Caenorhabditis elegans: one gene and its partner. The protein of the gene in region 2 interacts with the protein of the main gene of each other region in a pairwise test. Each region holds a gene or a part of one and is shown on either strand. Other genes may lie near its edges.

Region 1 (7,373 bases), 8.1 Mb from region 2:
GGGGGAGGGGCGGGAATATGGGCGGTGCTTGTGTTTCCAATTACAAACATGGAAGAAATGATAAGGAACGAAAAAGTGGGTGTCCCCCTGATGCAAATGTATAAAAGAGTTATCATCATTCAAATTTCAGTCCACATTTCATTCCTGAAAAATGACAACAATGACTAATTCTCTTATTTCTAATTCAGTTTCCTCTGTTCCTGAATCTCTATTCTCATCAGCTTCAATTCATCGTCCAGTTGCTATTAATCCAGCAATGCTTGCTCAATTCAGCATCAATCTGCCTGTTTTGCCATTTGAAAGTTCTGCTTCTTTGGGAACATCTACCACATCCAGCTCGGTAAGCATATCATATTTTCTCAAAATCTTGTAATATTATTTGTATTTTCAGAGATGCTCTTCAACTGAAAGTTCTGCTGCTCCTGGTAAAATCCGTCGTGGTCGACCACAACAAGAAATTGCAGATGGACAAGATGCTCACAGTCAAAAGAAGCGTCATCGCCGTCTTTATGCTCGCCAGTACCGTGCTCAAATGCGCCAAAAGGTGGAGAATGTGAAAAGTCTTCATGATGAGAAGGAGCAACTCGAGTTGGAAGTAAAAGCTCTCCGGCAAGCAGTTAGTGGTCTTCAACAAGAAAATGCTCAAAAAGATTTCTTGATCAGTATTTTGCAACTCAATAATCAAATCAACCATTCCTAAGAACATCTTCAATATTCCCCTCTCCCGAATCCTCTTTGCCATAATTTTTCAAATTCGCTCATTCTTTGCTGACATAATTTGGTCTTCTTTCGAAATGTTATTAATAAAAATTGACACGGTTTTGATTCATCTTTGTGCAAACATCCAACTACAGAAGAGTTACAGAGATTCTTTCCAAAAAAGAAGTTGAGAAAAAATAACAGAAAACAAATAAAAAATATATTAAAATTAGTCGCGTCGAGACCTCTTTGATTCTCCACGGGAGTCTCCACCATCCCCACCTCGTTTCTTTTCTTTGGTGTGCTCGAAAAGTGATGACAATCCGAAAACATCTTGATCCTTCTCGAACTGAAATAAAAAGGTTAACATTTTGTAGTGATTCATAAATGCACAGTGACATTTAATGTTTTATGACTCATTGATAAGTAAATTTTAGAAGTAGTCACAGTCATTTTAAGAGCATCTTTTATGCAATTTCCTTATGAAATCTTTAGAAATTAGGTTTCAAAAAAATAATTCAGTAAATACATATATTTCTGAATACTACGGGTCCACACACTCAATTTCGCAGATGGAATTTTCTAAATTTCAATAACGTTCGATTCACAGTTAAACTCAATGCGTATAAACTATTTCGTTGGAATCAAATGCACTTTGACCAGATTATAGCATTTTCTACGCGTTCTGCAACAATTCGATCGTCACACGCAAACATGCCAAATCGGCCGCCATCGTGTCTGTCCTGTAATTCTAGACGATTCCGCATCGTCATCATTTTCTTGATAAGTTTATAATAAACTTTGTAAGAAATTTCGAAACTATGCCATGCACAATCACGATTCGGAAATATTGTCATGAAATATACTAGAATTATCATTGTCATTCTTAAAATGGCATGAAAATCGTATTTTCTGTCATCATCATCATCTAATGTTTTGCCCTTTGAACGCTGCTTGAACCAATTTATAAATCGACACGGATGATCGTTGGCTTATCCGCTTACTGCTTATCACTCAGTTTAGATGTTAGTCTACAATTAACACCATTTCGCCGAAAAAGTTTACCCAGCTCCCCGAGTTCGCTGCAAACAATTCCGGAAAAAAAATACGTTTCCTGTTCAAATCTAAACTATGAACATGGTTTAAACATTTGAAAAATTGGTGTTTTCAATATAGTAAATGCCAAATTTTTCAAAAATTTCAATTTTTTGATAAATTTCGATTATTTCTACAGGTTCGATCCCTAGAATTTCCAAATACGAATAAATACTATAAAAACTGGGAGGACAACTGTTTATTTCGTCCACTTTCATAATAAGCGAAAACTAAAACTAAGATTTTTTTGTTAAAAAATGCAATACGTATTTTTAACTACAATGCCACTTTGAGAGTGAAATTTTGATTTGAGCTGTTTCATTTACACGTATATTCGGAGCAAAAAGTTATCATTTCCTAAAAATAGACCGAAATATAGTCAACACCGCTCTAGTTCTGTCTAGTATTTCAGTCATTTCAACTTTTAGAGTAAATCACATGTTGGTTCTAATGCTTCTGGCTTGTTGGTGATAAGACGTGATATTTCGTAAGTACTGATAGTGATTGGGTTATGAAAGATGCTCGCAAACACCAGCCTCCGTAGACACAACTCGATAAAATGCTGATCGTTCAGCTCGAAATGTGACTAGAAACAGTAAAGTAATTTAATACATTTTATGTGTTAAACTGAAGAGAATCTGCATCCCGAACTTAAGTAAAAAGAAAAGCTAATCGGCTATGATAGAAAAGATATAATTAGTTTTTGTTCAATAAGCTCTGAGCATTGTATAAAACTACAATATTGATGAATCCATAATTATTTATTATAACTCTAATTAGAATATCTAAAATTGGTTAACTTTTACAATCAAATTAATCGTGAGTTAAAATACATCAATAGTTCATTTCGACCATAAAGAGAATGGATGAAAACTGAACTTTGACATATTTTAATTATTTTAATCTTATTTTATCAATAATGTCAAACATATTACGCACGACAATTGAAGCTCATAAACCAAGAATGTAAAGAATCTTTTCTACTTCCAAAACACACTGCTGTGCGTGTCTTTTCGGAATGACGTAAATTAATGATCCATTTATGATAATGACCGCACAAATCAACGAATTGGTTCAATTCGTCGTTACTTATCAGTCAATTTTTGACGCTCATCAACAACGAGCCAGCGCCCAAATTCTCAAAATTCCCAGCTATTTTAGTAACGTAGTTAAAATTTCTGACAACAGATCAACTGACTAACCTGAACAGGTCCAGATCCACGACTCGAGCCCTCTGCTCCTGAAAATCCTTTATCAGCTACAAACCGATTCTTCTGTTCGATGATCTTGTCCAAATCGCCACCATAAACATCGTTGTCGAGATTTTTGCCTGCAAAAGTTTTATAAATCGTCATTTCTTCCTGTTTTGACAAAAATACAATTATTTTCGAAATTCGTATTTGCATAACGTCATTTTAATCGTAATGACTGCAGTACTACAAACGTCTTATCAAATACTAGGCACCTAAGTTGTGATTCTATTTTTAACGACAAATGAACCAGAACGGACATGAAAGTCAAATACATCAGTATCATCAAAGAGTTTTGTGAATTCCAACACCAATGAATTAGAAAAACAATAAATTTTAGAATGTCACAAATTCCTCAGTTCAGACATACATTAGGAAATCATTTCAATTTTGAAATATTAAAGAACTAACGGTTCTAGTTATTTTTGAACGTTTAGATTTTTATGGCGGTTCGAAATTTAGAAAAAATGAATCAATTTTGGCGAATTTTTCGTGTCGCAGAGGTTCAAAAATGATTTTTTTTGAATTATAATCTTTTTTTAAATTTTAATATCACGTAATATCGTCAATTGAGGTACTTTTTAAGCAAACATAGGTAATCAATTTCGGTAACCTTTCGATTTTAAATGTACCTTAGAATAGCATAAGATAAACTGCCAAAATAAGATTTCAGCTAAAATAATGTTTTTTTTTGAAATTTTAAAACGCCATAAAACTTTTTTTTTGAAAAACTTCTGGAACGTTTCATTATGAAATTCGTTCATTTTAGAGCATTGTGGGTATATATATATATATACATTCAAAATACCTAGACCCGTTACTAATTTTAATTTATATTTGAAAATAAGCAAGAAAAACTAACTCGGTCGATAAACGTGCTGTTGAACACTGTCACCGCCACGCCACGCAGCATCATAAGGATTGTAAGTATCATCGTCCATTGCTCCACTGTCGAGTCCCTGAAAAATAAATATATTAGTTAAATTTTATCGAAGAAGGAACTGAAACCTGGGTTTTATCAAACAATCTTTGATCGAACTGTGGTTCGCCAGTTCGTTTCTGATTCGTGTCCGGCAAACCAAGCACAATTTTCTCCGAAATATCTCTTTCACGCTCTTTGCGAAGCTTGTCAGCTTTATCTGGTCGTGAACGAGCAATATTTCTTTCTTTCCTGATATCGTCGAGACGATCACGTCGAATTTCTTCGCGAACTTTGACTTGTTCATCATCTTCATCGTCCTTTCTCCGCATCGCTGATCTTTCCTGGCGGGCTTTTGCTGCGGCTTCTGCCATTTTAGCCTCTTGCTCAGACTTCTTATTTTGAGCAACGCGTCTTTCAAGCTGAGCACGTGTCTCAACCTCTTCACGAGCTTTTCTATCAGCAATGTACAAAGCATCAGCAAGCTTCGCAAAGTTTTCATTAATATGAGTCTGTTGGAGACCACGTCCATCAGCAGCCAATCGTTTGTCCAACCCAACTGTGAATCCTTTTGGATTTTTCCAATTTGAAATACATGGTGGAATCTTCCAATCGTTTTGATCTTTAGCTGTCATTTTTCTTGGAGGAGAATGCATGACTGGTGCCGGTGGAGATGGTGGTGCTCTAGGAATCTTCTGATTGATTTTGAACTTTGGTGGTTCCATCGGATCTTTTTGTTCTTCAACCATTCTGATGATGCGCTGTTGTGATCCAGCAGCTCCATTCTGCTGACTTGGAGTGTATCTGATATATTGAGCAGGTGCTAACTTGTCGGCATGACGAACAGGAAGTGCTGAGGCTACTTTTGAATTTACGATTTTTTCCAAAGCCATTCTTGTCTTCTCCGTAGCATCGATAACAGCGTCATCGTCTGGTTTCTGAATATCATCATCATCCTCGTTCCACGTCTTGGCTTTCATATCATTAAGCTTGGAGTAGACAACTTTATCCTTAACATGTCCGATACGAGCAATAGCATCGTGTTGTAACTTTCCATCAGTTCCATATTGCAAGGCGAGCGTATTTTCTGGCTTTCCTCTCATATCTCCAAGACCTAATCCGAGAGGAAACTGAGCAACGTGAATTTCAGGGAACGCTCCGCCATCGCCAAAATCCTGGAAAAGAAAAATTAAGAAGAATATTAATATTTTCAATCTCACTTCAGGCCCTCTTGGTCGAAAACTGGTCCGTTTTCCGTACGGCGGTGGTTCCTTCGATACGAGTGCGGCGGATGGTTCGTTATCGCGCCCACCAAACCAAGGATCTCGTCGAATCTGTGAAGCTGCTTCGTCTGCCGCCACAGGAGCAGGAAGGATACTAAAAAACATTGGTTTTACATGATAATCAGTGAAATACACTCACTCTCGTAGTTTCATCGACATCCTGATGAAATACTGTCCTGAAATTGTTTTTTTAGACAAAAAAAGAATCAAATACAAAACTGGAAGATATTGTAGTGCCGATGAAACACAAGTTATAATTTCAAAACAAAAACATTGAATGAATAATAAAATAATGAATTAAGTGTTTATTGAACAGTGATTAAATCGAGTATATGAGATCAAATCAATAATTGGATAAGTTGCAGTAAGTGATGTAGAAAAATTATTTGCCGCGGCGGCTGTTAGATTTTGTTGTCGATGCTGTGTTCGGTACTTTTTTCAGCTGATCGAAGAGAGCATCAGAAGAAGAATGATTAGACAAATTATTTATCATCATCTCATGCTCAAAGAGTTTAGTCATAATCATGGCGGTTTGTGAGAGACGAACGGTATCGTTAATAGTTAATTCCGAGTCATCGAGCTTTCCAATCCGTACAAACTCGCACGGTTCATCACGTTTCGTGTGCTCGTACCACGGATCGTCTTCTGGGTCAAAATCAAGTTCCTTGTTGCAAAATGCACATTTGCCAGACTGAGGACCGGTGCAGTAAAATCCGGCTTGAGCAACCTAAAACAAGAATAATTTTATTTAAAACACGAAAATGGACAAACCGCTTGAGACGTGCATTTTGCATCCGGGTCTCTATCATATTCGAAATTTTTGAATGTCATCAAGCGATCTTTGTAGAATGTGAATTTTGCCATATCCGACTTTTTTTTGGTCCCGGGTGCCATTTTCTGAAATCAATGAAAAACAACTAGGTATCTTAATCTTGAGGAATCTATTTCGAACAGGTAGAGATTAAAAATTCGAAATACAGTTAAGAAGATTTGAACTAAAAACCACAATTCCAAAAAAATAAGTTGAAAGCGTTGAAATCGATTGATAAAAGGAAAAGATAAAACGAGACTTACATTGAAAATAATAAAACTTCGTGGCGTATTTTAATAGATTTCGAAAATGAAGTTTAATTTCATGAAATTCGCGCATCCACGCCACGTGGTTTTATTTTTTCAGTGTGTATTTAAATATAAATGAAAAACAAATCTCAGAAAACATTTATCGAATAAAATGTTGAAAAATCAATAAATGTAGCTCGCGTCGCACTGACGAATTTCGCGCTGAAATATACAGCCACCAAGAAAGCTAGGCCACGGCCATTGGTCAGTAGAGCGCACGTGCGCGCGTACCAAAACCTCCAAGAAGACAGGAAACTCAATGAGTTTGTTGAAAACTAAACAAATTAACAATAACTTTGATTCAATGGAAAAAGATTCTATTAACTTTTTAACCGGACGGTGTCGATCGAGCCTGCGGCTCAACCTCTCTCAACTGGCTAAAACTGAAATTTACCGTATTTCCTCTATTAAATAGTTAGGCACCTCTATTAGTTTTGCACCTCCATTAGTTTTGCATCTAAAATCACTAATCGAAAATTAGTTTTGCACGCTCTATTAGTTTTGCACCTCTAATAGTTTTGCACCCCTCCATTTGTTCCCTATTTTTAGGAATTTAAAATTTGCATTATAAAATCGTTCTAAAAATTAGGAAAACTCTTACAGACTTGGTATAACAAGTCAAAATTGGCAAAATATGAGTACAATTCGGACAATTTTTGCGTATCAGTCGTAAAATTCGTCCATTTTGGTTCATAAGTTGTTATTGAAATTGATGATATTATGTCATAACTTAATGGAAAACATGAGAAAAAACCTGTTCGAAAATTAGTTTAGCACCTTCTATTAGTTTTGCATCAAATTAGGTGTCCGAAAATTAGTTTTGCATGCCTTACTAATAGAGGAAATACGGTAAATAATATTATTTATGATTACTAATTAATGAGTAATCTCAAAAATAATCGAAAATCAATTTTTAACTTGAACAGTTTAGATTCTTCTACAGATTTACACTTGATTATTTTTGAATATCTCGTTCCTACATGAAGAGTTATCAAATTAATAAATTTT
Region 2 (3,075 bases):
AGTTCGAGAGCTCTCTTCCAGCACCATATGAGAATGAGAAGAGCGAATAATTCTTCTATGCACTAACATTGTAATTAATTATCGCCATAACTTCCCCTCCTCTCCGTCCCATTTAGTTTATAGCATTTTTATAGAAGCCTTTCCCTCCCCCGATAATTCTTGTGAATCTTCAAGATCAAATTGATTTTGTCCTCTCTGCCCCCAGTCCAATAATCGTACTTCCCCCGAATGTGTTGCCATACTTTGAGATTGTCTATTTGCACGTCTGCCCTGCATATTTATGATAAATTGACTGAAAATATCAACTTTTTTTTTTTAATTTTGACTCGAATCTGCAAATGCTGAAATTTAATTAAAAATTATGGCTGTCTGAAGGATCTTCAAAGAAGTTTCGATACCTCTACGACCAGCTCGTTAGCAAAATACCAAACTCCTTTTCGATGAGTTTTCAAAATTCCTGGATAAATATCCTGAACTTTCTACATCAGAAGACCATTCGCAACGTAAAATTATTGATTCCAGGAAGTTGAAGTTCAGATCCACGACAATCAGACTATGATTCACAACTTTAACAAAACATTAGCAATTTCATTTTTAATAACAACAGTTTATTCAGAAAATAGAAAAACTTAACGACGACGGAAGAAGTTCTTCTTGACCTTTGGCTTTGGTGGCAGAATGATTCCATCGTACTTTTGCTGGAACCATTTGATTGTCTCCTCCTTATCGACACGGTGGGATGGTCCAATGCGTCCTGGTGCACGTCTGCGCTTGGAAACTCGAACTCCGTTGCGGTTCAGAACGACGTAGAAGTCCATTCCGTAGATTCCAATTCCTGGGTCGTACTTGATTCCGAGATCAATGTGCTCCTGGAAACAAAATAATCATCACTTTTGAACACTTCAACTTTAAGCTAACCTGAACTCCGAAACCGAAGTTTCCAGTGTCAGAGAAGTTCTCTTTGAAAAGCTCGTATTCCTTGACCTTGAGTCCCTTCTCGAGGATTTCCTCAGCCTTTGGTCCACGAACGGTGCAATGAACAGCAATCTTTTCGTTTCTGCGAATTCCGAAAGTTCTGACGGTGTATCGGGCCTTGGAGAACACTGGGGTTTGTCCGGTGAGCTGCTCGAGCACCTGAAAATATTTCGAAAATTTACGAATTACTGTAGAATATATTGGAATACCTTAGCGGCACGGGTGAGACGATCTCCAGACTCTCCAACACAAATGTTGAGACAGAGCTTTTGGATCTTGAGCTCGCGCATCACATTGCGGCCCTTCTTCTCGCGAATTTCCGTCTGTTTTTCGACGTCCGTCATGATTACCTGAAAAAAAGCATAAATACATAAAATTTGAAAACTGTGACAAGCGAGAACAAGTAGAGAGAAACGCATAGACACAAGTTCAAAAATGCCGATAAAAAATTAGCATCTTGAGATCCTAGAAAGATATTCAAATTTTAGGCCTAAAACAACGAAAATGGGAGGAGCGACGCGCACACACACACACACACACCGGCATGCGCTGAAGAGACGGCAGAGAAAACGGGCAAGCGATAGAACAGCACAAACGGGTGACAGAGACGGCGAAACAACGACAAACCACTCTCATTTTGTGAGGAAAACTCGAAAAATCAGAAAAAAAAACCTCGAATTAAAATGATTTTCGGCCCGATTTAGGATTCGAGGGTACGGTTTTGTTTTCGTGCCGAGATATCGTGGTCCCGAAAATGGTGTGTGCCTTTAATTTTCGAATTTAATTATTTAATTCAGCTTTTTTCCGATTTTCGCTCTTTTTTTTTGAAGTTTTCCTTGAATTTTCTTGATTTTTTCTATATTTTCTTGAAATTTCTTCTTTTGAATTGAATTTCTAATTTTTTTTCAACGTTTTTTGTTACAGAATGACAGTAAATGAGGGTTGGGATTCGTTCAAAACGAACAGATGGATTAATTTCGATACTATTCCATCATCCTCCTCACAAAATCGTCCTGCACCCCGAGCTCCTGAAATTGAAGTTAATAGAAAAACGCCTGATTCACCATGTAAGCTTTGGAAAATTTGCGAATAATCTGATTAATTTTGTTTTTTGCAGCAAATCGAGCAAATCGCCCACGAACGCTTTCAGACCGGGGAAACGAGATTTTGGATAATCATGAACTCGTCAGCAGTCTCTACGCTTGGAATTGGTCAGAATTGAGAGAGAATTATCCGGAAAAGGGAATCCAGAATCCGTCGATTTATTGCTATGCGATCTCGTGTGTTCAATTATTATCGCATGTTCCGGCAATTGTAAGGATCCTTCAGGATCATCAATGCCAAGATACAGGTTTGATTTATGATTTTTCTATGAAATATTCTCGCAATTATGCTAATTTTCAGCTTGTCTCTGCTGCAACTGGAAGAAAAACTTCCTTCAAAGCCATGGCCATGCTGGAACTATCAATTGGTTCCGTGAAGCATTCAAAAAAGATCGAAAATTCAATCAAGGCCGCCAGGAAGACGCTCATGATGCTCTCCTGGCGATTCTGGGGAAGCTCGATAAGATATCGGTGCAGAGCAATCCTCGTCTGAAAGGCCGCAAAGTGGCCGATGATTTGTTCGGATATTCCATAAGAAATGAAGGTTTTTGAAGCACTTTATTGATTTTTTTTTTAAAGAAAATAATTTTAATTTCCAGTTCAATGCCCCGGGTGCAAGAACAAGCACGTCTACTATGAGCACAACACCGTTATGACGGTTCGGATGCTTAGAAAGGATCCATCAGGCAAAAGCCACTCCATTAAAGAACTCATGCAGGCTCTGTTCACGGAATCCAAGATATTCGGCTATAATTGCTCAAAGTACTGGATTTTCGAACTCATTTTCCAATCAAAATTCCCCAATTTTCAGGTGCAAAAAGAAATCCGACGCGCCAGTGAAGCCCACACTTCTCCGAGCTCCACAGATCCTGCTAATGCACATTTCTCGCTTCTCGTTTGATGGTTGGGGGAAGAAAATCTCTCGGCCTGTCACCTTAAATGTTAGTTTTTAAAGAAAACGGCACAGGAAAAAAGGGCGGAGTCGCGAGCGCAATCC

Evidence for each region.
Region 1: the proteins of rpl-11.1 (region 2) and skp-1 interact in a two-hybrid assay, tested with the Caenorhabditis elegans proteins (one study listed by BioGRID).

The regions. Positions count from the first base shown.
Region 1 is NC_003283.11:11,643,530-11,650,902, reverse strand, and holds skp-1 (mammalian SKIP (Ski interacting protein) homolog), read right to left. Parts: upstream 5,423-7,373; 5' UTR 5,406-5,422; coding exon 5,386-5,405; intron 5,341-5,385; coding exon 5,184-5,340; intron 5,139-5,183; coding exon 4,053-5,138; intron 4,004-4,052; coding exon 3,907-4,003; intron 3,125-3,906; coding exon 2,997-3,124; intron 1,049-2,996; coding exon 929-1,048; 3' UTR 813-928; downstream 1-812. Other genes in the region: Transcription factor zip-10, read left to right, coding at 152-340, 392-700; Chromosomal passenger complex protein bir-1, read right to left, coding at 5,629-5,973, 6,018-6,140.
Region 2 is NC_003283.11:3,584,740-3,587,814, forward strand, and holds rpl-11.1 (Large ribosomal subunit protein uL5A), read right to left. Parts: upstream 1,326-3,075; 5' UTR 1,320-1,325; coding exon 1,185-1,319; intron 1,135-1,184; coding exon 919-1,134; intron 870-918; coding exon 630-869; 3' UTR 594-629; downstream 1-593. Other genes in the region: pygl-1 (Alpha-1,4 glucan phosphorylase), read left to right, coding at 1-50; T22F3.2 (Ubiquitin carboxyl-terminal hydrolase 36), read left to right, coding at 1,901-2,042, 2,093-2,326, 2,380-2,622, 2,678-2,840, 2,890-3,019. UniProt on the Caenorhabditis elegans protein: Component of the ribosome, a large ribonucleoprotein complex responsible for the synthesis of proteins in the cell.